2 linked regions of the Anolis sagrei genome follow. The protein of the gene in region 1 interacts with the protein of each later gene in a biochemical or structural test. Links are inferred from orthologs where the notes say so. Each region holds a gene or a part of one and is shown in the gene's direction. Other genes may lie near its edges. The genes, in order: MYB and NLK.

Region 1 (15,292 bases):
GCTGGATCTACACTACCATATAATACAGTTTGTCAGTGTAGACCAATATAATAGTCAGTGTAGACCAATATAAGGCAGTTTGATGCAGTCAAATTGTATTAAATGCATCTACACTGATCATATAATTCAGTTTCAAAGTGTATGATTACAGTGTGCATAGGAAACATTTCCACATTCACAGCAGATACACATTAATAATCTGTAAACCCACAATAACTCATCTATGTAGCCTGTATCAACATTTCTCATCAGATACACCTTTTCACCCTTGTTGCAAGCTTATAAATAAGAAAAGTATATATCCCCTTCCAAAATATTACTAATGTTTCTAAATTTGGAGAACCTTTTGAAATGCACAATCCTGAAGCCACAGAAAGGAAAATGTTCCATATTGTACAAAATTCAAACCCCCTCTAAACACAGTTGGGTATGTTGAGTTTTCCTTAGAATCATCACAAGTCCTAAACGACTTTAAGGCACATGATAATATTCATTAAAATTTCCCCAAGTGGGCATGTCTCTGGATTTCTGTTGTGTCTCTTGTGTGTACTCACCTCTTTAAAAAGGGATGCGTATAATCAGTTCCTGTAAAATGTTTCTGACAGTGCATGATCATATGTGTGCATACTCATATAAATTCAAATATACTTTATATCTAAGTAACACAAAATCAGAATGTTATATTCTTGGAATATTTTTGGAAGGCTCCACTTCTTTACTGATCATATACATATTTAGAGAAGGAATGTATTATACTATTTTGCCTTCAGTGCCCTATTGTAACTTTGGTGTACTCTGGAAATATAGTTTATGGCTGTCCTTGGTATACAAGTACCCTTTGCATTAAAGTGAAAGACTTTACCTCTAGTTCTATACACAAATATTTGGCATTAAGATGCAATGCCTTGAAACATGCATGGGATCACATTGAGGTTGTTGTTTGTCTTTTTAGAAGGAAACCTAATTTCTTATTGGTGTTTATCGTTCAGAGCAGAACTACACATTATATGGAACGTAGGACTGTGCCTCCCAAAGCAGTTCTACTTCAGACAGTTTTCTCTGATGTTATTACACCAAGTGTTTCAGCATTCCTGTCATCACCAGTCAAATAATGGGAAGATGGCAACACAAACTACATTGATGTTAGGTTAAAACAGTGGTTCCCAACCTTTTTTGACCAGGGACCACTTGACCAGGGACCACTTTGACCAGGGATGACTCTCCAACATTAGTACCAAAAGGGTTACAAATCGGTTTTTGGTCAACTTTAGATTCGGTTTGGAGTGCTGATTCAGAACATTGCATTGGCTAGACCAAATCAGCTCTAGTTTCTGATACAGAACATATGCCACCCAGTAATCGCCATCTGCTTGCTCACAGAAAACCAAATTTAATCATCTAGAGCTGATGTAGTAGTAATATTTTGTGGGTAGTCGGCCTCTCCCCTCCTGACATCCCCATTTTGTAAGACCAGTCGCTCTCATTGCTGTGTGGTTTCAAGGCAACGGTGTAGTAATGGTGAGACCGCGGACCCTATTTTCATTCTTGCAGACCACTGGTGGTCCATGGACCATAGGTTGGGAACCAGTGGGTTAAAGGATAGGCATCTTGTACTGAATATTATGGAGGAGAAGAGTAGGGAGAACTTTTTCATATTTCCAGTGAAGGAAATATGTGAAGGTCTGCTGTTCCACTGTCCTTCATTTTGAATTGCCATCTGTCATTTTCATTAGCCCACTTTCTTCCCATGCTGTGTAATATGATGCAAACACATGCACAAATAATCGTACAAATAAGGAGGGAGATCAAAATTGTCACTTGAAGCAACAGGTTAGGGTAACTAGCGGCAAGCATACTTGTATCAGTATGTTGTTCAGAGCAGATGACCTGGAGAGAATTATCCTGTTTCGTGATGTCTGGAACATGCATGGAAAGGCAGTGATCTTCCCAGTACTAAGCATCTAGGGTCAGATGACATAATTTGTCCAATGGCAACCCATGAATGTTATAGGGATTCCGTAGGCAAATAATATTCCAAGGTAGTTTACCAGTTCCCTCCCCTAAAATATAGCTAACAGCAGACATGAAAAAACTTTTAGGGGTGGGGCAGATTGGGGCCAGGGCAGACGGATCAGGAGGGAGGGGCGAGCTCTTGGCAGCAACCTGTCCCTGGCTTTCCTTGCAGCCTGGGGATGCAGTGGCCCACCATGTTCCCAAGCTGAGAGGAGTGAGCTCTCTCGACAGTGGCCTGTCCTTCCCCCTGGCTCCAGAGCGCTCAGCCGCCTTATTCCAGGAGGTGGGCCCAAGGAAGGCACGAGATGACCGAGAGCAATCCGAAGGGCTCCCAGCCACCATGTGCCTTCCTCCCCTGTCCCTTCACCATAGGAGCACAGTCCCAGAGGACAGGAAAATGAGGAGGGCCAAACATAAGCACCCACGGGCCTTACTTTGTCCATGCCCGCCTACAGCATCTGACATTTGTCGGCAATGTAAGTGCTAACCATATCATATCTTGTCAGATGGATTTTATTTAAATCTTTACTGAATTCAAGGTGTGACTTTATTTAAAAGGTTAGAATGCCCGCCTGAAAGGGGCTCTGATAGAGGATCTCTTATCCAAAATGCTTGGGGCCAGAAATGTTTTGGGATTTTGAAATACCCATATTTGCATATGCGTACACTGTGTCTGGAAAATGCAGTGTACGTTTATTTTTCATAAACACCCTATAGATAGATATCTTGGAGGTAATTTTATACACAATATTTTAATATTTTAAAATAATGTTGTGTATGAAACAAAGTTTGTGTACACTAAAACCATCAGAAAACAAAAGTATCACTATCTGGACCACCCATGTGGACAAATTCAGATTTTGGAGCATTTTGGATTTTTGGAAATGGGATACTCAATTGTGTCTTATTTCCTTTTTTTCCCCTCCTTTCTTTTAAGAAGGAAAATATCTTTTTAGCTTCTAGTGTTTGTAGATATTTTCCGTAAGCCTCTGTAAATGTTAACACCTCTCTCCATTATTGGTTGATTATATTTTCTCATCCAAGCTAGCTGAGGTGTTGCTTCCTTTTCCTCCTACTGCCCACGTTTTCCCCAACTTTAGGATCTTCCATATATTGGGAGGCGTGTGTGGCTGTTTTGTTTCTTTTCTGTATTTCAGAGTATATTTATTGTTTCCGTTATAGTAGTTAGCTGTTGTGAAATCATTCAAACTAAAGGTTGCAGGTTATGTTGTTAATAGTGAAATTAACTGGAGTCCTGGCAAACATAGCTATGAATTCAGATTTGAAGGTGTTCTGTTTCAGAATGATTTTAGTTGATAGTCTACGGCAGTGTTTCTCAACCTGGGGGTCGGGACCTCTGGGGGGTCATGAGCGGTGTTTCGGAGGTGTTACCAAAGACCATCAGAAAACACATATTTGGCAGAGAAGGCTGAAGATCTCTCTGCCTGTCTTTCTCTTCCTTTCTAGTATTGATGGACTACAACAGAATTCTGAACAGCTGCCACCCCCACCCCAATCTCATCAATATTCAATGCTGGTGATGTAGGTAGTGTGCCAAGTTTAGTGCAGATACATTGTGGACTGGGTTTGGAGTGCTCTTTGATTGTAGGTGAACTATAAATCCCAGCAATTCTAACTCCCAAAGGTCAAGGTCTATTTCCCCCAAACTCCACCAATGTTCACATTTGGGCATGTTGAGTATCCGTGCCAAGTTTGGTCCAGATCCATCATTGTTTGAATCAAATGCTCTTTGGAGATAGGTGAACTACAACTCCAAAACGCAAGGTCAATGTCCATCAAACCCTTCCAGTATTTTCTGTTGGTTGTGGGAGTTGTGTGCTAAATTTGGTTCAATTCCACCATTAGTGGAGTTCAGAATGCTCTTTCATTATCGGTGAACTATATATCCCAGCAACTACAACCCCCAAATGACAAAATCAATCCCCCCCCCACCCCACCAGTATTCAAATTTGCGCGTATCGGGTATTTGTGATAAATTTGGTCCAGTGAATGAAAATACATCCCGCATATCAGATATTTACATTACAATTCATAACAGTACCCAAATTACAGTTATGAAGTAGCAATGAAAATAATGTTATGACTGGCGGTCACCACAACATGAGGAGCTGTATTAAGGGGTCGCGGCATTAGGAAGGTTGAGAAACACTGGTTTATGGGAGTGTGCCACAAAGCAGGCAGTGTAGGCCTACTGGAGCTACCTCCTTCAGGGCCCAAGTAAGTAAGGGGCCCATCACTTAACTAGCAAAGTGCCTCATTTGCTCTAAATCTGGCACTGCTTCCAGATATTGCACTGCAACTCTGACCATTAGTTCATACTGACTAGAGCGAATGAAGCTTGGAGGGCCACCCACTGCCCCTTGTTGGTTTAGAATTCTGATTGCAAAAGCTCATGCCTATATAAGGACACATAAGAATGGTTTAGAAGTTTGCAGAGATGGAACTGATTTAGGAGTTGGTTCTATGGTCACTGGAAAGCATATGTTCAATTTACTGATGTTAGGTTTAATTTATTGATGATAGGTTTAATTTGAAGTTAGGTTTTATATTGTTTTCGTATGTGGGGGTTTTTTCTGGGATTTTATGTTGGTGGGGTGTTGTGAGTTTTCCAGGCTGTATGGCCATGTTCCAGAATCTGGAACATGGCAATTCCAGACAAGAACCAATCAGGGCAAGTTAATCACCTCCCAACAAAGGATTCTCCAGGCAGTAAGAAGACAGACCTTGAAACTGCTAGGCCCTTAAATGCTAATCAAGGTGTCCAATTTAAACATTCACACCTTCCTCAAACAGACAAGAATTCTTTCTCCTACCCTGGGCTTTCCACAGATATATAAACCCAATTTTCCAAGTTTTCAACAGACCTCACAACCTCTGAGGATGCCTGCCATAGATGCAGGTGAAATGTCAGGAGAGAGTGCTTCTGGAATATGACCATGCAGCCTGGGAAAGCCTTCCACAATACATGTTATGTTGGTCTTTGTTTTAAGGAGGCAATGAATGTTTGCTGGTGTATGTTGGAATCCGCCCTGAGTCCCCCTGGGGAGATAGGGCGGAATATAAATAAAGTTTTATCATCACCACCATCATCAGTAGTAGCACCAGGGAACCAGCAAGACTTTTTTAAACATCTTGAAGCTGTGCTGTTCCCCTGAGAGCGCCGCTAGCTCTTTCCTTCTGCTCAGTCAACCTTTTTCTCACTGCTAGAATCTGGTATGAATGGAACAGACTATCCTGGTAGGGGCTCAAAGGCTGAGCATTTTGTATTTTTCACAGTTTTGTTGCAGGGCAGAAACCGGGCTGCGTGAGTCGAATTTCCTTTCTTGCCTTGTTACAGAAACAGGCAGCACCCTCGGCACACTCCCCAGCTCCACTTAACACATGTGCAGCGGTTGCAGGCTTGGAGAGGCCGCTCCTGGGCTGTTCACCATCCGGATGGGAGGTATTTCAAAACCCTGGAGGTAATGCATTGTCAAAGGCTTTCATGGCCAGAATCACTGGGTTGTAATAAGTTTTCCGGGCTGTATGGCCATGTTCAAGAAGCATTCTCTCCTGGCATTTCACCTGCATCTATCTCAGGCATCCTCAGAGGTTGTGAGGTCTGTTGGAAACTAGGAAAATGGGGTTTATATATCTGTGTAATGTCCAAGGTGGGAGAAAGGACTCTTGTCTGAGGCAAGTGTGAGTGTTGCAATTGGCCACCTTGATTAGTCTTGAATGGCTTTGCAGCTTCAAGGTCTGGCTTCTTACTGCATTAGCATGCAATCTATGTAATTCCAACACTGTTAAGGATTCCCCCATCCTTAACAGTGTTGAAGGAGCCCACAGTGGGTTAAACCCCTGTACTGGCAGGTCTGAAGACCGACAGGTTGCAGGTTCCAATCCGGGGAGAGCGTGGATGAGCTTTGGCTCCTCATGCGGGGAAATGAGAGAAGCCTCCCACAAGGATGTTTGTTTGTTTGTTTTGGTCGTGTCAGGAGCGACTTGAGAAACTGCAAGTCGCTTCTGGTGTGAGGGAATTGGCTGTCTGCAAGGATGTTGTCCAGGGGACGCCTGGATGATTTGATGTTTTTATCATCCTTGTGGGAGGCTTCTCTTATGTCCACGCATGAGGAGCTGGAGCTGATAGAGGGAGCTCATCCGCCTCTCCCCAGATTCGAACCTGCAACCTGTCGGTCTTCAGTCCTGCCGGCACAGGGGTTTAATCCACTGCGCCACTGGGGGCTCTTACAAGGATGGTAACACATCAAAACATCTGGGGGTCCCCTGGGCAAGGTCCAATTCTCTCACACTAGAAGTGACTTGCAGTTTCTCAAGTCACTCCTGACACAACAGAAAAAAAAGTGTTGCAATTACATAGATTGCATGGTAATCAAGGTGGCCAATTGAAACATTAACACCTGCCTCCAATAATAAATAAATAAATAATAAAACTTTATTTATACCCCGCCACCATCTCCCCAAGGGGACTCGGGGCGGCTAACATGAGGCCAAGCCCAACAATTACAACAAGGCAAAAAGAATACAATCATACATGAAAGAAAATACAAAGAAAACAAAACAAAACAGAATATAACAAAAATGAGCCGAACGGGCAGGGCCAAGTACAATGAATAGGATTTTAGAACCCTGGGTGGGATGGATGAGTAGGGTAATGTCTAGGTTCTTGTGGGTTTTTTCGGGCTATCTGGCCATGTTCTAGAGGCATTTCTCCTGACGTTTCGCCTGCACCTATGGCAAGCATCCTCAGAGGTGAAGTCTGTTGTGAGGTTGTGAGGTCTGGAAACAGACCTCACAACCTCTTGGGATGCCTGCCATAGATGCAGGCGAAACGTCAAGAGAGAATGCTTTTGGGACATGGCTACACAGCCCGGGAACTCTTTCAGCTGGCTATGGGCAGCCTCCAGCACCTCCTCTCTCTCTCTCTCTCTCTCTCTGCGGGGATCCTGACCCTAGTGGAAGGCTGCTCGGAGGGAGCCCCTTCAGGTTGGCTCTTCCTCCTGGCTCTGGGGCGCCGTCCCGGCAGGGAAGAAGGAAGCGGCGCTGCACCTGTTGGGCCGCCTGGCTCCCGGCAGGGCAGCTGTTGTGAAGCCCTGGCACGAAGGTGCTTCGCCCCAACCCTCCTCCTCCCAGCCCGACGAGGACAGGTGGGGAAGCTTCCAGCTTGGCAAGCCCCGCGGGCTCCGAGCCAAAGGAAGGAAGTTTTCGCCCAATGCGAGAGAGAGAGGGAGGGAGGGGGCGGCAAAGCGGGTCCTTGGCGTGGAGTGGGAGCCTCGTTCGCGGGGGGAAGTGGGGGTCTGAGTCTCTCCCGCCTGGAGAGAGAGCCCAGCAGCAGCAGCAGTGCCCGCGCTTCTTCTTCTTCCTCCTCCTCCTCCTCCGTCCCCTCCGGACCCGCGGGCAGCGGCTGCGAGGAGCGCCTGCGCACTGCAGGGGCGCCAGATTTGGCGGGAGGGGGAGTGTCCACACATACACACTCACACACACACACTAAAGGGGGAGAGAGAGAGAGAGAAGAGGGCCCTTTGTTTGATGGCATCTGTTTACAGAGTTGACTCTTTCATCTCAACCTGTTTCCTCCTCCCCTCCTTGCCCGCTCCTGAGAAGAAGCACAACTTGGGCGGCGGAGGAGCTGCTGCTGCTGCTGCTGCTGCTCTCTCGCCTTCCTTCTCCAGCGGCTGCAGCAGCAGCACGCCGCCTTCCTCCTCCTCCTCCTCCGCTCCCGCCCACCCGCTTTCCCCCCGGGACTAATGCCAAAGGATGGCCAGGAGACCCAGGCACAGGTAAAGAGGGAAGGAGAGCTTGGCAATGAGGATCTCGGGGGATCGTGGGCGAGGAGAACTCCACGTTCTACGGTTTGCTTCTTAGAGTTTGTGGGTCTTTTTACTTCGGGGATCACAAAGTTGCAAACGGTCGGGGCGCGGGAGGTCTGTCCTCCTTTCTTTCTTTCTTTCTTTCTTTCTTTCTTTCTCGACACCTGTCATGCAAGCTGAGGGTTCAAATCCTCTCCCGAGTTTGCAGAGGCAGCGCTTCTTTTCCCGCTTCCTCCTGCTGCCAACCTTTCCCCAACTTTAGGATCCCTCAAAGTCTGCAAAGTTTTCTCCAGTTGTGCAGGGAAGCGGGAGTGGGCATCGCTTCGGGCCCAGCTCCAGCGCCGAGGTGGGCGCCACGGGAGATCTGGGCCCGCGAGGGGTCGTGCCAATGGTAGGGCAAGCGGGTCAATGTGGGAGCCGTCCCCATTCATCCGCGCGCTCATTCATTCCCGAGTCTTGCAAGCTGGCAAGCAGAACCAAGCGCCTCTCTCTCTCTCTCTCTCTCTCTCTCTCCCCCCCTGGGTGTTTTGTGCAGGACTCCCAATCCCTCGCCCTTCCCGACCCACTTGGCACGCGGGGAGTGTGCCTTGCAGCGCCGTTTGGGGAGAACTTTGCTTCCCCCACCCAAAGTAGAAAAGTATGTAGCGGGGAAAGAGTAAGTGAGTGAGGAAGGGTCTCTTGTCAAGAACTGTCACTGCCTTGCACCGCTTCTTGGGGCGCCGTTTACACTGTGGAATTGAGGCCGATTGGCACCACTTCCCCTGCCAGAACTCAGTGCCGTGGGATCCCAAGAGTTTGGCGAGGCAAAGAACCTTAACAAACTACAACTCTCGCTACTGCACAGCAGGGAGGCTTGAACTTTTTGTGATAGCTGTTCAGCAGTGGAACTCTCTGCCCCGGAGTGTGGTGGAGGCTCCTTCTAGTGTAGGGAGGCTTTTAAACAGAGACGGGATGGCCATCTGTTGGGGGTGCTTTGAGTGCGATTTTCCTGCTTCTGGGCAGGGGGTTGGACTGGATGGCCCACGAGGTCTCTTCCAACTCTAGAATTCTACGGAGGCAGGGCAGTTACAAAGTGGCATTCACCCAACAGTGTGGATCAGGCATGGGGAAACTTGGGTCCTCCCTCCAGGTGGTTTGGACTCCCAACTCCCATCATTCCGAACAGCCTCAGGTCCTTACTTTTTCCCCTTCAGCCGCTTAAGCGTAAGGGCCTGAGGCTGTTCGGAATGATGGGAGTTGGGAGTCCAAACCACCTGGAGGGCTGCAGTGTGACCATGCCTGGTGTGATGCAAGGGTGGGGGGAGGTTGTGGGAAAGCGTCCCCTCGGGCAGGCGCGGCGTGGGATGGTTTCCTTGGGAGCCCCGGGACACTCGCCCACGTGGAGCTGGCCCAACGTGGCTTCCTTTCTCTTTCGCCCTGCGGCGCCGGAGAGGCAGCTTCCTTCCTTCCTTCCCTCTCTCTTTCCCTCGCCTGCTTTCCCCAACTCAGGAAACTCTTCTGCAGTCCCTTTCCCTGAGCTTGACAGCAAAAGGCGGCCCCCAGCCTCCAAAGTTTCCAAGGCGAGAGGGAGCGCGGGGTTTGGGCGCAATGCTGCTGTGAAAGCCAATGAGGGCAGTGCGGAGGGACGGGGGTTAGCGGGGGGGGGGGGAGTGCTCTCCTCTGCACCGCTCCGCCTCGGGCTGAGCAGACCTCGCAAGGGCGGCAAAGCCCTCCGCCCTTAACTCTCTTGCGAGGCGGGCGAAAGGCGCGGCCTTTAAAACGCCACGGCGGGCAGACGGGCGGGAGGAAGGAAGGCAGGCAGGCAGGGAGGGAGGGAGGGAGGGGAGGCGCTCTCCTCCGCTCTTCGTATTTGTTGTGTGTTCTTATTTATACTAGTGGCCCTCTCTCTCTCCCGGAAAGAGGGGGAGTGGTGTGTTGTGTTGTGTTGTGTTGTGTGTGGGGAACGGAGCAGACTGGGGCTCGGTGCTATGGGATGCTGGGAGTGGTAGGGTGTGTTGGGCAGAGAAGGCTCAAGATATTCTAAGAGAGGAATAGACCAACTTGGGCCCTTCCTCCAGGTGTTTTGGACTCCAACTCCCACCATTCCTAACAGCCTCAGCTGAGGGGGAAAAGGAAGGGTCCTGAGGCTGTTAGGAATGGTGGGAGTTGGAGTCCAAAACACCTGGAGGAAGGGCCCAAGTTGGCCCATGCCTGTTCTAAAACCACAACTTCCAGGATTCCACTGTATGGAGCCAGGGCAGTTACAGCGGAGTCAAACTGCAGTATTGCTACAATGGAGATGTCCTTGCAGAAAACAGTCGCTACTGCACTGGTACTGGAACTATATATATATATATATATATAATTATATATATGAGACCCCCCCCCCCCCCCCCCGTGGCTCAGTGGGTTAAACCACTGAGCTGTTAAGCTTGTTGAGCGAAAGGTCGCAAGTTCGAATCCGGGGAGCTGCATGAGCTTCCACTGTCAGCCCCAGCTTCTGCCAACCTAGTAGTTTGAAAACATGCAAATGTGAGTAGATCAATAGGTATCGCTCTAGCGGGAAGGTATGCAGTCATGCTGGCCACATGACGTTGGAGGTGTCTATGGACAATGCTGGCTCTTCAGCTTAGAAGAGATGAGCAACACACCCCAGAGTCAGGCATGACTGGACTTAATGTCAGGGGAAAACCTTTACCTTACTATATATATATATATATATATACACACAGAGAGAGAAAGAGAGAGAGAGAGAGAGAGAGTAGAGTCTCACTTATCCAACATAAATGGGCCAGCAGAATGTTGGATAAGCAAAAATGCTGGATAATAAGGATAATGTTGGATAATCATTATCATTTTACAAATTAAGTCCCAAAACATCATGTTTCACAACAAATCAACAGAAAAAGCAGTTCAGTACATGGTCACATTATGAAGTAGTTACTGTATTTACAAATTTAGCACCAAAACAGACAAGGGTACTTTCTTTTTCCCACGTTTGACTGCATTCGATAATACAGAACATTGGATAAGCGAAGGTTGGATAAGCGAGACTCTACTCTGTGTGTGTGTATCCATATTTGTTTGTATACATGTATATATAAAGGAAAAGCACGAATTAAAATAGTGGGTCTTGTTATTGGGTCAACTTATGTTGGTGATAGCATATGCAAACACATCTGCTGGCAAAAACCCAACCTGAAAATAAGGGAAAAGGTTGGGAGCAACAAACTTGCTAAATGTGGTCTTGTAGTTCTGTCCTGCTTAGGGTACATCTTAACTGTAGGGTTAATGCAGTTTGACACCGCTTTAACTGCCATGGCTCAATGGTATGGAGTCCTGGGAGTTGTGAGTCCCTTCCACACAGCCCTTCCACAATATCAAGGCAGAAATCCCACATTACCTGCTTTGAACTGGAATATATGGCAGTGTGGACTCAGATAACCCAGTTCAAAGCAGACATTGAAGGATTTTCTGCCTTGATATTCTAGGTTATATGGCTGTGTTAAAGGACCCACTGACTTACAACTTGAGCAAGTGAAATAAACCTCTGACTTGACTTTGGGCCCCAAAGAGTGGCCTAATTGTAAAAAAAAAAAAAAGTGCTGTCCAGTTAGAGCTGTTGGATGCCCATCCTGCAGAACGTCACAGTTCATATGTGGCATTGCTTTCAGTGGGGCATGTGGTCCATCCAATGCTAACTTACTCAGAAGAAAATTGATCAATATGCATAACCTTGCTGTCTAAGGCCCTTTACACTCAGCTGAATAAAATCCCACATTATCTGCTTTGAACTGGAATTGAGTCCACACTGCCATATATTCCAGTTCAAAGCAGATAATGTGGGATTTTATTCAGCTGTGTGGAAGGGGCCTTAGACAGCAAGGTTATGCACATTGATCAACTTTCTTCTGTTCGAAACAGATATTGAGGGATTTTCTGCCTTGGTCTTCTGGGTTATATGGCTGTGTGGAAGGGTCCTAAGGTATGCATAACCACAGCAGGTTTGAGTTAGTGGCAGTGGCTTTAATATCACTTCTTAGAGATCATTTTGATGTTAACGAGACTTTTAAATAAGTTTCATGTTTAGGCTGCAATCCTAAACATGAACACTTGGATGTTAGTCTTATTGAAGTCAGTGGGATTAATAAATAGACATGCTTAAGATCAGTTTTGATCAGATCAAGAAAGCTGGCAATCCCTGAAAAACTTGTTATAGAGAAATTCTACACCACACAATGACATATTACTATTGATTCATTGAAGTTGTACTTAGTCAGACAGACTCTCTAAACTGATTAGTAAAATCCATATGCAGTGATGTAGGACAGCCCCTTCTGACCTTTGACAGGTGGTGACACTGAGCAGATTTTTTGTTATGCTTTAGGACTGGACCCTTAAGGGTTGTTATGTATATAGTCCTTAAAACCATGCAAGCTTTTTTTGTGATCCTTAAAGCGTTGTGAAGCAAATTGTTACTAATTCTGTTTTACATGTGAGAAAACTGGCTGAGATGTAACATATTACCAAAGGCCACCTAAGTTGTATTCAGACTGTATGACATTAATGCCTATGTTGTTTTAATCTGCAGGTGGAGGATTAAATGTTTACTCTTACTGTCGGTAGACATAGGAGCTAGCAAACAGGGCAAAAGGGTTGTAAGTGCAGCCTTTTCACTGGCAGGGTATACTTTTAAAGAAGTTAAATAGGAATAGTACTTGCAATCTGAAATAATAAGAGTCTAGTAAGAGATGCATCATATGAGTCTGCTGCTGATGTGTTCCCTCACTAAGCCTATGGCTGAGCTTGGATTCAAATTTGAAGTAACCAAAGCTGATTCTTCACTCCTGTCTAGTTTGTTTCATAAGCCATACAATCTCAAGCAGTAGGTTTACCTGATGAATGGTGTGATAATCTAATTTTAGTTTGTATTAAGAGTTGAGTGTAATTGGTAGCCTTATTTTGCATTTAGTAGCGATTTGTAGGCTGTCAATTTCAGTATATGCATGTCTGTGATGTTGACAATGCCAGAGATTCTGTAACTTTAAATTGCATTGTGTGTATCCACATGTTTTGGAATGCACTGTTACGTTTTGCAGAAATTCAGTCTTTTACATGAGAACAATTAAACTGCAGCCTTTGAACCACAAATTCTGGGTAATCTCATTGACTCGACACTCCCTCCGCATAACAGCTTTTAAGGCACTCAGTCTTAAATATTAGATTTTTAATTGTTCCAATGGTAAGACAAGATCACTATAATGTGCTTATTTATCAAACACGTTTTTTAAAATTTTTATTTGAAGTTTATCTCTTTCATGTGTCACTATAATTAGCCCTAAACCATCCATATTTTCTGTTCTCCTGTAGATACAATCTGTAAGCTGACATTTCAAAAGTTATGTTTATGTTTTAAAGTTAGAAATAAAGCATTGCACAATAGAACTGAAGTACGGCAACATCTGTTGCAAAACGCTCTTAATTTTTCTAAACTGGAAGGGTTCGAGTGGGTGTTTGTGTATTATTCTACTCATACACTGTTTTTGGAGGAAATATCCTAGGGCAACCACTTTGTGGAAAATATGTCAGATGGACTTGAAATAAGAACACTGTTTATGATGAAGCAGTAAGATTGTTCACTTCAGTGCTATGACAATTTTAGATATTACACTTCTCCTCAGTTGTACCTGCACTTGGCCAGAGTTTGTTGATACTGCTCTTCATTTACAAAACAAGCCGATCACTTGATGTCCTTATGTTTTCATTTGTTTTGAGAGGCCTTTGCCCTTGGATATTTAAGGCTGTAGATTTGTGCTTATGTCTAGGCTGACCCGTGTGTGTGTGTTTGTGGAAACAAGTCACACTGTATTTCTAGGACTTGCTTTCTTCTAAGTAATTTTGGACTTTAAGTACTATTCTCAAGGGTTAGTGGGCATGGGGATTTTACTTCTTTTGGCCCTTCTACACAGCCTTACATCCCAGAATATCAAGGCAGAAAATCCCACATTATCTGAGTGTGGACTCAGATAACCCAGTATTGTGAGATTTTCCGCCTTGATATTCTGGGATATAGAGCTGTGTGGAAGGGCCCTTTGTTGCATGACTTCAAATTGTTTCTGACTTATAGTCACCCTATCGCAAACCTAACACAAGGTTTTCTTAAATTAGTTCAGAAGGTGATTTGTCTGCTTTCCTCTCAGGGCCCCTCCACACAGCCATATAACCCAGAATATCAAGGCAGAAAATCCCACACTATCTGCGTTGAACTGGATTATCTGAGTCCACACTGCCATATATTCCAATTTGAAGCAGATAATGTGGGATTTTATTCAGCTGTGAAGAAGGGGCCTCAGGGTGAAAGCGTATGACTCACCCAAGGTAACACAGTGAGTTTCCAAGGTTCAGTATGTATTTAAAGTCTGCCCTTGAGAGCCTGAGCACCCTTCTACACTACCATATAATCCAGAATGTCAAGGCAAGTTATCCACATTGTCTGCTTTGAACTGGTTTATCTGAGTCTACACTGCCATATAATCCAGTTCAAAGCATATAATCTGGATTTTAGACATCTGTGTAAAAGGGGACATAGTGCAGTGTGTAAACCACTACACCACACTGGTCCATTTTCTTGGCATTAGCCCAGTTGAATTCAATAGGCTATTGGCCCTTTGACACAGCCCTATATCCCAGAATTTCAAGGCAGAAAATCCCACAATATCTGCTTTGAACTGGATTCTGAGTCTACATTCAGATAATGTGGGATTTTTTTGCCTTAAAATTCTGGGATATAGGGTGGTTGTGTGGAAGGACCCTATGAGTTTTCAATTGCCTGACTGAACGTTACCGAATTTAGATCTCTGTGACCCACCATATATATTAATATATAAGTTGACCATATGCATAAGTCAGGGGCTGGTTTGGTACCCAAAATAATGGATTTTGAAAAGACCCATGGGTAAGTTGAGGGTCATTCCTTGAAGGAGGGGAAGCACCAGTGCCTTGACTTCTGTCGCCATTTCCTCAGCCAGGCATTCAAAAAGGCTAGAAGTGGTGCCACAGTGGAGAGACTTGGTGCTTCATTTAGTTTTTCCTGGGGCAGACTTAGGCCCCTTCTACACCATCAGATAATGCAGGTTATCACAGCAAAAAATCCATATTATCTGATTTGAACTGGGTTATCTTAGTCTGCACTGCCATGTAATTAGCAGATAATGTAGATTTTATACAGCTGAGCAGAAGGGGCCTAAGCTTTCATATTTCACCACTCTACTCAAAGTAGGCTATGTTTCCTTTTTGATAAGCTACAGTACTCACATTGACATGGATAAGTCAACCCAAGATTTTTCAATTGACTTTTTGACTAAAATTTATAGACTTACATATGAGCATATAAGGTATTTATCCTTATAGTATTAAGAGGTAATCTTATAGACTTACACATGTGCATATAAGGTATTTATCCTTATAGT
Region 2 (15,912 bases), on another chromosome or scaffold:
GCGCAAAATAGCAAGGCGGGTGCAATAATTCATGTGTCCACTGGATGGCAGCAAAGAACGGTATATTGGAGCAGCCTTGGCTTATTAAGGCGCAAAATAGCAAGGCGGGTGCAATAATTCATGTGTCCACTGGATGGCAGCAAAGAACGGTATATTGGAGCAGCCTTGGCTTATTAAGGCGCAAAATAGCAAGGTGGGTGCAATAATTAATGTGTCCACTGGATGGCAGCAAAGAACGGTATATTGGAGCAGCCTTGGCTTATTAAGGCGCAAAATAGCAAGGCGGGTGCAATAATTCATGTGTCCACTGGATGGCAGCAAAGGACAGTATAGTGGAGCAGCCTTGGCTTATTGAGGAACAAAATATCGAGGCGGGTGCACTAATTAAAGTGTCCACTGGATGGCGGCAAAGGACAATATATTGGAGCTGTCTTGGTTTGTAGAAGGAGGGGAATAGCAAGGTGGATGCAATAATTAATGTGTCCACTGGATGGCAGCAAAGGACAAAATATTGGAGCAACCTTGGCTTATTAAGGAGCAAAATATCAAGGTGCGTGCAATAATTAATGTGTCCACTGGATGGCAGCAAAGGACAGTATATTGGAGCAGCCTTGGCTTATTAAGGGGTAAAATAGCAAGGCGGGTGCAATAATTATTATGTCCACTGGATGGCAGCAAAGGACACTATATTGGAGCAGCCTTGGCTTATTAAGGAGCAAAATATCAAGGTGCGTGCAATAATTAATGTGTCCACTGGATGGCAGCAAAGGACAGTATATTGGAGCAGCCTTGGCTTATTAAGTCGCAAAATATCACTATGGGTGAAATAATTAATGTGTCCACTGGGTGGCGGCAAAGGACAGTATATTGGAGCAGCCTTGGCTTATTAAGGCGCAAAATAGCAAGATGGCTGCAATAATTAAAGTGTCCACTGGATGGCAGCAAAGAACAGTATATTGGAGCAGCCTTGGTTTATGAAAGCGCAAAATAGCAAGGTGGATGCAATAATTTTTATGTCCACTGGATGGCGGCAAAGGACAGTATATTGGAGCAGCCTTGGCTTATTAAGGCGCAAAATAGCAAGGCGGGTGCAATAATTAATGTGTCCACTCGATGGCAGCAAAGAACAGTATATTGGAGCAGCCTTGGCTTATTAAGGTGTAAAATTGGCGGGTGCAATAATTATTATGTCCGCCGGATGGCAGCAAAGAACAGTATAGTGGAGCAGCCTTGGTTGTCGAGCAAGGTGGGTGTAATATTAATTTGTCCACCTGAGGGCAGCAAAGGACCATATTTTGGTGCTGGAGCAGATTATATTAATGGGAGGGTTGAATGAAAAGTAATGCCTCCTCCTTCGTTACTTGGGTTTGGATGGGAATATTTTAATAAACCAAACGCAGAAATAATCCTTAGAATGTGCTCTTTAATTACCACTATTCACTTTTCCACATAATCACCAGACAATTGGATACATTTCTGCCAAAGATTAACAAGTTTTCTGAAGCCGTCACGGAAGAAGTCGACACTCTGTTTCCGCAACCAGCATCTCACAGTTCTCTCAATGTCTTCATCAAAAGCATAATGATGTCCCCACAGATCTTCTTTCATTATCGGGAATGGATGGAAGCCAGATGGTGCTAAATCTGGACTGTATGAAGGATGTCGTACGGTGGTGAGATCCAGTCTCTGAAGTTTCAAGTCTGTGCGCTTTCATTTCAGACGTCAGCATCCTGGGTTCCCATCATGCACAGATCTTCCAATATCCAAGCAAAGCAATAATGTGACCCACACGTTCTTGTGAAATGCCGATTATGCTTGAAAATTCTCTCTGAGTGATACGACGATCGTCCGGAATCAATCTGTCAAACTTTTGCTTGTGAAACTCGGTGGTTGCTGTCACAGGACGTCCAACTCTTTGTCACGCAAGTCAGATGTTCCCACCTCAACATCTTTAAACTTACCTGCCCAACAACGCACAGTACTCACATCAACACAATCAACATAAAGAGCTTGTATTCTCTGAGGAATCTCCTTTGGGGTGACACCTTCAATGATTATATCTTCCTGTCTGGGAGGAAGGGGTTGGACATCTGTTGGGAGGGCTTTGGTTGTGTCTTCCTTCATGACAGAAGGAGGTTGGACTAGATGGCCTTTGGGGATCCCTCCAAATCTAGTGGAATATATACTGCCTAAGAGTTTCCTTCTTTGGAGATCTTCAAGCAGAGGCTGGATGGCCATCTCTTGAGAGGGCTTTGATTGTGTCTTTCTGCATGAGAGGCAGGTTGGACTGGATGGCCTTTGGGGTCGCTCCAAATCTAGTGGAATGTATACTATGAGAGTCCCCTTCTCTGGAGATCTTTAAGCAGAGACTCGATGGCCATCTGTTGGGAGGGCTTTGATTGTGTATTCGCATTGACTGACAGTCTGCACAGGGTTCCATACTTCGCACTTTAACAACGCAACCATTCGATGCTAAGGCTTCCCGCGAAAATGGAACTGTAGAGGAGAGTCTACTGAACAAGCCAGTACCTGCCGCATACCAGTACTGCTATCTGTTGAGGAGTTACGAAGGTGGAAGCATTACTTTTCATTCAACCCTCGTATGAACTAATACTCTTGGGTGGAGAAGTCTTGTCGAGCTACAACTTTCAGGATCCCATAGCCGTCCAAGTGGCGTTAAACTGCATTTATTTTACAGTGTAGACGCAGCCAAAGAACAGGCCTTGGGAGAATCAATTTTAAAGCAGACCTCAAGGGCCATTGAGTGTGACCCCCATTCTGCCACAAAGGAAGACACCATCCAAACCCTCCTGACAGATGGTCATCCAGCCATATGCTAGAATGATAATCCAGCGCAAGCCAGGCAGGCAGATATCATGAAAGCCTCTCCCGGAAAGAGTTAATGCCCGTGACCCAAATATGGAGGCCCGCTTTAAAGTGGTTGCAAATTGCTTTTTAATCCTCGCTCTCGAGGATTGTCTCCGAAAACATCTGTCAACGTCACCAAGAGACTGTCCACATGGAATAGAGCAACGTCCTTCAGCAACAACCATACACGGGTTTGTAGTTTCGCACACATTACGCTCTGAGGTCATATCTACCCCAAAGGGGAAAGTCGAAACCTTCCCGACAGATGGCCAACCTTTGCGTTTACCCAAAAATTCTAGAAACATAGACTGCCATATGATGCCATTACAGAATGCACTCAAACTGCATCATATGGCAGTGCAGACTCGTACAATCCAGTTCACGCATTCTGGAACAGACAGGACGGCACCATCCAAACCCTCCTGACAGATGGCCACCCAGCCTCTGATTAAAAACCTTCCAAGAAAGGGACTTCTTCAACTAATTATGATGATTCTATGACGAGAGACAATAACAGAGAATTAAGGCAGCTGCAAAAAAATTAAAAAGCCCAATCATTTCTGGACCGAAGCTGAAAAGAAGTGATTTGCCATTGAGTTTGAAGGCGCATTCCTCCTAATTATGGGATTTTTTTTTTCATTTTCCATTAAAGGCAGCACATCTGTTGGCAGCAACTCTCATTCCCCCCAAAACAACACACGTTATTTACCGAATTGCAATCATGTGCTTGTATATTCCGACCACATTCTCCCGGCATCTGCACAGACAGATCCCCTCTCTGCCACCTCCCACGAAATGCCATTTATTTTTCCCACTTGATTGCTTTGGTGGATGGACATTGAGAGAAGAAGGGAGTCTATTTGGGTCATGATCCAACCGGGGTCACAATAGGAGCTGGGATGGTGGTCCCTTTGTTAATTCATCTATACTCTGGGCTCAAAGCGGATCACAATAAAAAACATTACAACTCAAAATACACAAATATCTGTATCCTATATTATTATTATTATAAATATAAATATAAAATACTATATCCTATCCTAGACACATTATAAAAGCATGTGTGTATATGGCTAGGGTATCCACTTAATAATAATAATAATAATAATAATAATAATAATAATAATAATATAATATATCCTATCCTAGACACATTATAAAAGTATGAGTGTATATGGCTAGGGTGTCCACTTAATAATAATAATAATAATAATAATAATAATAATAATAATATAATATAGCCTATCGTAGACACATTATAAAAGTATGTGTGTATATGGCTAGGTTGTTCACTTAATAATAATAATAATAATAATAATAATAATAATAATATAATATATCCTATCCTAGACACATTATAAAAGTATGTCTGTATATGGCTAGGGTGTCCACTTAATAATAATAATAATAATAATAATAATAATAATAATAATATATCATATCCTAGACACATTATAAAAGTATGTCTGTATATGGCTAGGGTGTCCACTTAATAATAATAATAATAATTATTATTATAATATAATATATCCTATCCTAGACACATTATAAAAGTATGTGTTTATATGGTTAGGGTGTCCACTTAATAATAATAATAATAATAATAATAATAATAATAATATAATATATCCTATCCTAGACACATTATAAAAGTATGTCTGTATATGGCTAGGGTGTCCACTTAATAATAATAATAATAATAATAATAATAATAATAATAATAAACTTTATTATTATTATTATATTTATATATTATTTTATAATATAATATAATAAATTATAAAATAAATTTTATAATAAATATATTATATATATTTATACCCCGCCACCATCTCCCCAGGAGTCCCCAGTAGCACAGTGGGTTAAACTGTTGAGATTGCTGACCAAAAGGTTGCAGGTTTGAATCCGGGAAGCGGCGTGAGCTTCCACTGTCAGCCCCAGCTTCTGCCAACCTAGCAGTTCAAAAACACAGTGGCGGGAAGGTAACGGTGCTCCATGCAGTCATGCAGGCCACATGACCTTGGAGGTGTCTACGAATGATGCCGGCTCTTCAGCTTGGAGATGAGCACCACTCCACCAGAGTCGGACACAACTGGACTTAATGTTGGGGAAAACCTTTACCTTTACCTTAAATGTAATAATAATAATAATAATAATAATAATATAATAATAATAATAAAATAATAAATAAAAACCTACTTTACCTACCATGTCCCAAAGTGGACTCAGGGTGGCTTATATGAGGCCAAGCCTAACAACAACAACAACAACAACAACAACAACAACAACAATCTTTATTTATACCCCGCCACCATCTCCCCGAAGGGACTCGAGGTGGCTTACATGAGACCAAGGCCAAATAACAATTACAATAAAGAAAAACCAAAACACAAACCCAAAACACAAACAATAACTATCACATCATATTAACATAAATATTAATATAAATATTAACATAAATTAACATCACAATACATCAATATACAACAAAACACAGCAATAAAATAAAAGAAATAAAAATACAACACAAAACCAATTAAAATCGCAACATTTAAGACAAAGAGATCAATCTCAAAAGGCAGGGCCAATTCCAATAGATTATAAATTAAAACACTGGGTGAGACAGGAAGTTTAATGTGTCTGGACAGAGGATCCGGGGGATGAGTAAGAAATGATAGAATAAAGTGCTTGCGAGTGCATTTGCAGGACTTGGTCAGTTCAGGGAATTATTGTTCATTCTTTCATTGAAGGCACACTGGAACAGCCAAGTTTTCAAGCTCTTCCTGAAGATTGCCAGGGTGTGGTTTGCCTAATATCTCTTGGGAGCAAGTTCCAGAGCCGGGGAGCCACCACAGAGAAGGCCCTCTCCCTCGTCCTCACATGTTGCACCTGCAATGGAGGCGGGAGTGAGAGAAGGGCCTCTCCGGAGGATTGAAGAGATCGTGTAGGTTTGTAAACAGAAATACGTTTCCTCCACCACAGACATCCCAGGGTTCCTTTCTCTCTCCATTGGTGTGGAATTTGCATGACCCCCGCCCACTGCCTCTCCCTTAATGAACCCTTTCCTATTCTTTTCTATGGCACACAGCAAACAGAGGAATTGTCAAAGGCTTTCATGGCTGGAATCACTAAGTTGTTGTAGGTTTTTCAGGCCATGTGCTAGAAGCATTCTCTCCTGATGTTTCGCCTGCATCTGTGGCAAGCATCCTCAGAGGTTGTGAGGTCTGTTGAAAACTAGGAAAATTTGGTTTATATATCTGTGGAATGTGTGCTGAACAGCCCTCACAGTCAGGATGGTCCATCAAGTTTCGGAACATTTCATTTATCCACATATTTCGGGGGAATTTCCAAAGTTTTTATAAGCAACATTTAAAAAAAACTACAAGAACAATCTCCTTGAATTTTCTACACAATGACACAAAATAACAGAGGATCATTCCCCCCAAGTTTCAGAAAAAATCATACATTGACCAATTTTAGGGATTTTTTTGTTGAGAGGTGATTAGCTGTCCCGGATTGTTTCATGTCTGGAGTTCCCCTGTGTTTGAGTGTTGTTCTTTATTTACTGTTATAATTTTAGAGTTTTTAATACTGGTAGCCAGATTTTGTTCATTTTCATGGTTTCCTCCTTTCTGTTGAAATTGTCCATGTGCTTGTGGATTTCAATGGCTTCTCTGTGTAGCCTGACATGGTGGTTGTGAGAGTGGTCCAGCATTTCTGTATTCTCAATTAATATGCTGTGTCCAGGATGGTTCATCAGGTGCTCTGCTATGGCTGACTTCTCTGGTTGAAGTAGTCTGGGAACATGAACATCCGTTGACCCGCGGATATGGGGGCTCAATGGATTTCCGTATCCGCGGTTCCACGGAAAGCGGTTTCGGCCTTCCTGGGAAGCTGTAAGAGCATCTCGGGCGAGCCAGCCGTGATCTGTGGCCCGAGAAAGGAAAAGTTTATGTTAGGGAGTGTTAGAGGCAAGAAAGAGATACAATGTATCACTATGAGGAGGAAAATTTTGCAATCAAAGGATACTTTTATTGAGGGATTTGTTACAATATTAGGGTAAGGGAGAAAAGAAAGCAGAAAAGTGACTTTCAGTTGAAGCTGCTGCTGTGGCCACCGTCCCTTCGATGTTGGCCCACCCAGATGTCCTGGAACTGCGGAACTCCCTGCTGTGGTTCAAATCAGGCTGAAGGCAGAGGTTTGCGCGTTCGTCAAACTTGAAAAGATTTCCCCCAGGCACTAACAAGCCACACCAAAAACTGCCAGGCCATCAAATACTTTTCAAGATGGGCAATTGAAACATTCAAACCGACCTCCAACAGACAAGAGTTCTTTCTCCCACCCTGGACATCATTCCACAGATATATAAACCCAATTTTCCTAGTTCTAACAGACCTCACAACCTCTGAGGATGCTTGCCATAGATGCAGGTGAAATGTCAGGAGAGAATGCTTCTAGAGCATAGCCAGACAGCCCAAAAAACCTACAACAAAACAGAGGAATTGATCAGCAACTGAGAGGTTTGGGGACAATTCACCATGATTTATAGGAGTTGTAGGTACTGGGATGTATAGTTCACCTGCAATCTAAGAGCACTGTGAACTCCACCAGCAATGGAATTGGACCAAACTTGGCACACAGAGCCCCATAACCAGCAAAAAATACTGGTGGTCTTGGGGGGGGGGGGAATTCACCTTGATTTGGGGGAGTTGTAGTTCACCTACATCCAGAGAGCACTGTGAACCCAAACACCGCTAGATCTGGACCAAACTTGGCATGCATGCCTGATATTGTTGATATTTGATTATTGGAGGGGGTTTTTTTTGGGGGGGGGGAATGACCTTTCTTTCCGGGAGTTGTTGTTCACCCACAACCAGAGAAAGAGTGACCCCCACCGATGATTGACGAGGAACAAACTTGGCACACAGACCTGATATGCCAAAAAATTGACAATTATACAATAATGAAGCAGTATATAATTTTATATTATCAGTAGTGATTATATTTTATGTATTAGCTTGATTGAAATACATTATTATTATATTATTACTATATTATGTTAATATATTACTATTATATTATTATATAAATATATATAATATAAAATATATAATAATATATAATAGAATAGCAATATTTTAATATAATATATTATATTATTATTATATATATTTATTATTATATATATTTATATAATAATATAACATATTATATTATATATATATAATATAAAATATATATAATAATATATAAAACATCTTGGGAAAACTACAACTCCCATTCCTCCTCCGAAAGGCCTCCTCACTGAGGTCCCTCGCCTTGCCTAGGCTTTGACCCCGCCCCCTGCTCCTCCCCATAGGCTAAGCCCCGCCCCCTCGGCTTCCTGCGCGTGACAGAGCCCTCCGCTTGACCCAACGGTTCCTGCTTCACGCTGTCCTTGCATTACCCCGCCTCCGTGACCGCCATTGGCTGCCTTGGCTGTCCATCTAAGCACCGCCCCGCCCACTAGAAAGACCTCCCGACTCCGCCTCCTTCCAAGGAGTTCCCCTTTCCATTCGTGAGCTAGTCCCGCCTCCTCCTACTCTTCCTCCTCCGCTATTGGCTCATCTTAATTCGACTGACAGCTCCTCTATAAACTAGATCAGTTCCCCTCTATGGATGTGTGTCAGAGGAGTTTTAAAAAAATCCCTCTGGGCCCTTATTGGTTTCCCTAAAGGCGTCGCGCAGCCTCATTGGCCTAGGGACGTGTCAATCCGAGGCGGGACTAATAACCATATCTGAGGCCTTTTTGGATCCTCCAGGTCATTATTGGTCTCCTTACAGGCGTCGCGCAACCTCATTGGTCCTCGAATGTGTCAATCCAAGGCGGGACTAATAATATTGGACTCCCAATATCTAGGTGAAGGTTGCGTGAGGTGACAAGGAAAAGAGGCGGGAAGATGTTCGGAGGCGCCTGATTGGCGAAGAGGCGGAGACGAGTTTCCCAATTGGGCGTGGCCTCAGAGGAGGAGTGTGCCTATTGGTTGGAAAGGGCGCGCGCGCGGAGGGGGGGCTGTTGAGCGACGGGAGCGCGCATTCGGCGTGTGTGCGCCTCTGAGAGTGCGCGAGGGCGCACGCATGCGCGCTCCCCGGGTGCTCTTTCACTCTGGGGCTCCTGTGAGGAGAAGGAGAAGGAGGAGGAAGGAGGCGGCGAGGGCGAGTGGCGGCCGGTCGGGCGGCCTGAGGGGACGGAGGGGCGGCGGAGGAAGGCGAGGAGGAGGAGCCGGGGGGGCGAAGAGAGGCCTGAGGGAGCCCCCTCGCCCGGCCTCTGCCCTCAGGAAAGGCCCCGGCGTAGCTCCCGCCTCCCCGGCCCGCCGAGCGCCCCCTATTGGCCAGCCGCACTCGCCCAGGCCCCGCCTCATTGGGTCAGGCTGCTGTCAGGCCAAAGGTAGGCCCTTGCCTTGACCTTCCCTGCCTCCCCTTCTCAGGCACCATCAAGACCACCTCCGCCACCCAGATTGTTACCTTTTCCCTCATCCCATTCCCCATCTCACCTCCTCCTCCTCCTCTTCTCCTTTCTGCATCCCTCAGCTCCCTCTTCTCTCCACTTTGCTCCTCACCTCTTTCCATTTTCACCATCTTTCTCCTTGCACTCTCCTTTTCCTCTTCTTTTCCTGCTTCTTGCAGCTCTCCCTTCCCTTTACAATATTCCCCTCTTGCAATATAAATACACATATTCTTCCATTGCTCGTTTTCTCCTGCTTTCCTTCCCTAGATCTCCTTTTCTTGTCTCCCTTTCCTCTCCTTTTTCTGCTTCTTGCAGCTCTCCCTTCCGTTTACAATATTTTCCTCTTGTAATATAAATACATAATTTTCCTACATTGCTCGTTTTCTGCTGCTTTCCTTCCCTAGATCTCCTTTTCTTGTCTCCCTTTCCTCCCCTTTTTCTGCTTCTTGCAGCTCTCCCTTCCCTTTACAATATTTTCCACTTGTAATATAAATACATAATTTTCCTACATTGCTCGTTTTCTCCTGCTTTCCTTCCCTAGATCTCCTCCCTTTCTTATTTCTCTCCCCCACTTATTTTCTTCTTCTTGCACATTTTTATCTCTTTTTCCCCACCTCTGTTTCCTCTTGCGCTCTTCTCACAAGCTTTGAAAAATAAAATATAATAATAATAATAATTGTTTTGCTCCATTGCTCATTTTCTCCTGCTTTCCTCCCCCAGATCTCCTCCCTTTCTTGTCTCCCTTTCCTCTCCTTTTTCTACTTCTTGCAGTTCTCCCTTCCCTTTACAATATTCTCCTCTTAAAATATAAATACACATATTCTTCCATTGCTCGTTTTCCCCTGCTTTCCTTCCCTAGATCTCCTCCCTTTCTTATCTCTCCCACTTTTTTCCTTCTTGCACATTTTTATCTCCATTTCTCCCTCTTGCGCTCTTCTCATAGAAAAAGAATATATAATACAATATTGTTTTGCTCTGTTGCTCATTTTCTCCTGATTTCCTGCCCTAGATCCCCTCCCTTTCTTATCTCCCACTTATTTTCTTCTTCTTCTACATTTTTATTTCTTTCTCTCCATCTAGGTTTCTCCCTCTTCTCACAGCCTTTGAAAAATAATATATAATACAATATTGTTTTACTCCATTGCTCATTTTCTCCTGATTTCCTCCCCTAGAACCCCTCCCTTTCTTATCTCTCCCTCCCACTTATTTTCTTCTTCTTGCACATTTTATCACTTTCTCCTCTTCTCTGTTTTCTCCCACTTGCGCTCTTCTCACAGCCTTTGAAAAATAATATATAACACAATATTGTTTTGCTCCATTGCTCATATTTTCTCCTGATTTTCTCCCCTAGATCTTTTTATATCTCTCTCCCACGTACTTTCTTCTTGCACATTTTTTATCGCTTTCTTCCTGTCACATTCTCTTTCTTGGTTTCTCCCTCATGCAGTCTTCTCACAGGCTTTGAAAAATAATATACAATATTGTTTTGCTCCATTGCTCATTTTCTCCAGATTTCCTCCCCTAGATCCCTTCCCTATCTCCCATTTATTTTCTTCTTCTTCCAGATTTTTATCGCTTTCTCCCCGTCTTGGTTTTTCCCTCTTCTCATAGAAAAATAATATATAATACAATATTGTTTTGCTCCATTGCTCATTTTCTCCTGATTTCCTCCCCTAGATCGCCTCTCTTTCTTATCTCCCTCTCCCACTTATTTCTTTTTTCCACATTTCATCACTTTCTCCCTCTTGCACTCTTCTCACAGGCTTAGAAAAAGAATATATAATATAATATATTGTTTTGTCCCATTGCTCATTTTCACTTGCTTTTCCTCCTGCATTCTCTCCTCCTTTTAAGTACTCTTTCATTTCACTCCTCTCAAGTTCCTCTCCTCAGTTCTTTTTCTTCTTACATGCTTTTTTTTGGGCAGGATTTTCCTCTCCTTTAAAAAAACTTTTTTCCGCATCCCTGAATGCATTGCATCCTTCATTTCCCTTTCATGCTCTTTCCATAACTTAGACATTCTTTGCTTCGTAAAATCTCCGAGAAGCATCTCCTCAAGTATTTTCTTCCCTCTTTTCATGCATTTTAATTGTTTCCCATTTATAAAATTGTTTCCTTCTTCTGTTTTTGCATTTTCCATCTAGTTCTGTTTGTAGTTTTTCATCTCTTTTGCATTGTCTCTGTTTCCCCCAGTTTACTCCCTTTATATTCTGTGACTTTTGGTTTCTCATTTCTGTTTTTTTTGTCGCCTGATCACATTCTAAATTAACATAATTTCTTTTTGTACTTGTTTCCCTCTATGTTCCTTTTTCCTCCCGTTTCTTTGGTCCTCTGTTAGGTTTTTAAAAGATTATTTCTGTGAACTGATTGCTTCTTATCCACATTCCTTTTTTGTACTTCATTCTTCTGTTCACATTACTTGACTATCCTGTTTCTTTCAGCTCCATCATTTTCCGTAATTTTTCTCAGTCACCCAGTGTTATCTGCTTTCATCTTTGGTTTTAAGTTATTTCATTTCTGCCCTTCTAAATATTCCTGCAACCCGCTTACTCCTTGCCCTCAGTAACTTGTATTGCCCGACTTCTCACCTCCCACACACTACTTTTTAAAAGAAGTATTTCCTGTCAGTCTTATTCTGTTTTACTTGCTCCTCTTTTCCAGTTTCTTTCTTTCTTTCTTCCCATTGATCTGGTCTTTTCTCATATTCTTCTTTCTGTCCTTTTTGGACATATCCTCTCCCCCACTGACTTAACATTCTTTGCTTTCATTAGTCACTTTCTATTCCCTTCCACGGGAAATTGCTTACATCCATCCAAGCTTAATATTAAAGGTGAATGGATGTATACACAGCACAGAGTGGAGAAGACTTGTAGAAGCCCTTAAGGGACCTTCTTGCACATTTTGAAAAGATAAATGAAAAGAATGTGGGAATGGAAGGGGTGGAGTTGTCAGTATTCCTAACATTTTCTAGGGGGGTGCATTCACATCCTTTTTCTAGGGGGGACGGGGACTGACTTGAATTCAAGACTGGCACAGAAAAAGCAGAAAGATGGCATTCTAGTACCAACTACATCAGCCATCTTGGGGGGAAGGGGAATTTATTGCATGCTCACACTCACACACGCAGAAGCCTCCATTTTTAGTGACTTAATGAAGACGTAAAAGACCTGTTGAGCTCCATGTTTGCAAAGGTGGGCAACTTGCTTGTGAAAGTGTAGCAGACCTTCATTTTTGTGGCCAAATGACAGCTTGACCCAGTTGTTCTCCAACCAGAGGGCATCATCTTGAATGTCTCTGTGTAGTGCCACAGCCGGCGCAAAAATGATGGCGGCTTACAATGGCGGTACATCCGCCGCCGCAGCAGGTCACCACCACCACCATCACCACCACCTCGCCCACCTCCCTCCTCCTCATCTCCATCACCACCACCATTCCCAGCACCACTTGCACCCAGGCTCTGCGGCTGCAGTGCATCCTGTGCAGCAACATGCTTCCTCAGCGGCTGCAGCGGCCGCTGCGGCTGCGGCGGCTGCAGCCATGTTAAATCCAGGCCAGCAGCAGCCATATTTCCCGTCACCGGCACCAGGTCAGGCTCCTGGGCCAGCTGCAGCAGCCCCAGCTCAGGTACAAGCTGCAGCAGCGGCTGCAGTTAAAGCGCATCATCATCAGCACACGCATCACCCGCAGCAGCAACTGGATATTGAGCCAGACCGGCCTATTGGATATGGAGCCTTTGGTGTCGTCTGGTGAGTATAGATGTCTCTGGTGGCTTCCAAGCTATAGTGCGTTCATGTTGCCATTGGATTTGCATGTTACTTTCCCCACAGTTTCTTGTACAGTTCTCTGGTGTGTGAGGTCTTAGGAAGACCTCATCCACTAGAGTAAGCAATTTTAGTGGAATGTAAGTAGCACAAGTGAAACACTTTTGTTCTCATATGTTGGCATGTATTTTGCCGTATTTTCCTCTTATTTGTGTCTCAAAGTCTTTTAACGCTAAGATAGTTTCCCAGCTTCTGTAAGGTAGTTTCCCAGCTTCTATGTCGTATTACTTGAATCCGAGGATGCACCCCTGTCAATAAGAGCCTGGTGGTTGGCATTTAAATAATGTCACAAGATCAGAGTTTTTAGTTTAGGATCTGGTTTGATTCATCACTTAGCTCAGGATGAGTATATAAGCCGTTGGTTTAAGATTGGTTCTATAAAGCCTACTCCATTGGCCTTTCCGCATCCTTCCTAATTCATTTGGGTTTTGACACGGCCCTCAAATCAAACAAAGACTATGGGACATTGCCTTTTTTGAGTTGTGCTCTCACTCTTATGTATCGTTCTCCCCTAGTGCCCTGTCCATACATTATGTTGGGTATTTCCATGCAGCAAACTATCTAAAGAACTTGACTGTGGCCAAATACCGCTGGCTATTTTCCAAGGCAAGGTGCAATGTGCTCCCATCTGAATTGCTGCGTGGGAGATTTACCGGTACCCCATATAATGAAAGACTCTGCCCATGAAACAAACAGGAAGTAGAATGCATCTACCACATTCTACTGTCATGCAATTTCTTTGAACAGGCCCGAGCACATATAATCAACCCCCTTCTAAGAAACTTACCAGCAAGTCCAGTGAAATTTTATGTGAAGTTTCTACTTGGTGACAACCTTCCCCACGTGACCTTGGCGGTTGGCAAGTTTCTTTCTGAGACAGGCAGACAGTTCCCAATTTTAGACATAGGCTGAAACACTTCTTGTAGTCTTTTACCTATGTTTTTAGCCAACATGTGTTTTAAGCAGTTTTTAACTGTTCTTAATCTCATTACCTGCATACTTTGTACACCTAGGGTGCAATAAGGGTGTTTGGACCATAATAAAATGTTGTTGTTGTCTTAAAGTATACCTGAGGAATAGTTTTTGTAGGCAGAGAAATTCATGGTTTTTGAACCCAGTAAATTTGGATTTGTTGTTTAACCCCCACCCCATTTTTACCGTTTTGTCATATACTCCAACTTATTTTTCCATCTTGAGGGCAAGAAATACTCTTTATACTCGTAAGTTTGAATAAAAAAGCAATCCAAAAACCTAGGTGGGACAATTTAAGTACTGTACCTGAACTCTTATATTAAAACTCCTTTTCTGAGAAGAGTGGCAAAAGGCAAGAGCTTTGTCCCTCTCAGGAGAATCTAAAAGAAGCATTGACCCTCTCGACTCTTTTTGCCACGTTGCCATTTCTGGACTTTTTGAATACCTGGACAAGAAGATGGCCCTCTGAGGCGGTGTTCCCTTCTGAATGGAATGGCCCTTGACTTATCCATGGGGGACATCAAAATCCATAATTTTGTCCCTAAAACCAGCCCACGACATATACATGTACATATACGGTGTTTTTTGGTGCTTTTATGCCTTTGAAGCTTCTACTATGTATTCCTTTGCAATATGAAGCTTTCTCGCCCAAATTTTCTCGCGTCGATACTTTAAAGTGAGTCTCGATGACTCCTGTGGGACTTCTTCCAAGGTACATGTGAATAGGATTGCAGGCTGAGCAAGTTGAATTACTGTATATACTTGAGTATAAGCTGAGTCTTTCAGTCCTTTTTTAGGCTGAAAATGCTCCCCTCAGCTTATACTCGAGTCAAAGTTATTTATCATTGTACTCTGTTATTATTTTTATACATTTATTATTTTACTTCATTTATTATTATTTTATTGTTGTTATTACATTTATTATTTTACTATATTATTACTGTTATTACATTTCCATTATTTTACTCTATTATTATTATTATTATTATTATTATTACATTTACTATTTTACTCTCTTTATTATTGGAAGGATAGGTAAGCACATTTACATTAAAGGAGGTTAGAATAATGGTTTAACCAGAGTTGGACAGTCTTATCTTAAATTACAGTTTTATGTAAATATTCAATACGCTTTCCCAGTTTTTTGTAGTAAGATTGAGTGCTTTGGCTTATATTCGGGTCGGCTTATACTCGAGTACATATAGTATGTCTGATGTCCTTACTTTGAGACTACAGCAGCATGGTTATAGTTTTCCCAAAACATTCTGCAGCTATTGCTATGATTTCCTTTTCTTTTTACCTCTTCGTTGGTCAACCCTCTGAATTTATATCTCACTGTCAGCTCTTTGGTATTTTTTGGATCTGTTATCTTAACTGCAAATTGGAAACAAATAGAATGGCTTGTCCATTTAGGAATTGAGCAGAATTAGAAGTAATTTCTGTTGGACTGGTCTTGGCAGGTGTCTAGCATCTGCATTTCCCCTGCAATAGCACATAATATATTTTCTGTAGCAGTGATCTCAATACTTTGCATTTCACCCAAATTATTTTTTTTCCATCTTGCTTTGGTGTGGGATGTTCCTGTCACAGTCACGTAGCTTTAGAGCGCTTATGTGAGGAAAATTATAGTTTGTAACAATTTCCTCCTTTATCTTGTTTAACCAAGAAAGAAGTCAACTCACTTATCACCTACCATATTAGCCAGATTTATGTGAACTTTTCTAAAATACGTTATTATTTTGCCCTATGTATATTGTAGCTTGT

What was found.
Region 2: of the proteins of MYB (region 1) and NLK, one has a biochemical effect on the other in vitro, tested with the Homo sapiens proteins (2 studies listed by BioGRID, with this or other methods). The link is inferred for Anolis sagrei from reciprocal best matches to the Homo sapiens genes MYB and NLK.

What each region holds. Positions count from the first base shown.
Region 1 is NC_090021.1:80,593,286-80,608,577, reverse strand, and holds the start of MYB (transcriptional activator Myb), read left to right. Parts: upstream 1-7,543; 5' UTR 7,544-7,791; coding exon 7,792-7,814; intron 7,815-15,292. UniProt on the Homo sapiens protein: Transcriptional activator; DNA-binding protein that specifically recognize the sequence 5'-YAAC[GT]G-3'. Plays an important role in the control of proliferation and differentiation of hematopoietic progenitor cells.
Region 2 is NC_090031.1:25,525,155-25,541,066, forward strand, and holds the start of NLK (serine/threonine-protein kinase NLK), read left to right. Parts: upstream 1-8,944; 5' UTR 8,945-12,643; coding exon 12,644-13,101; intron 13,102-15,912. UniProt on the Homo sapiens protein: Serine/threonine-protein kinase that regulates a number of transcription factors with key roles in cell fate determination. Positive effector of the non-canonical Wnt signaling pathway, acting downstream of WNT5A, MAP3K7/TAK1 and HIPK2.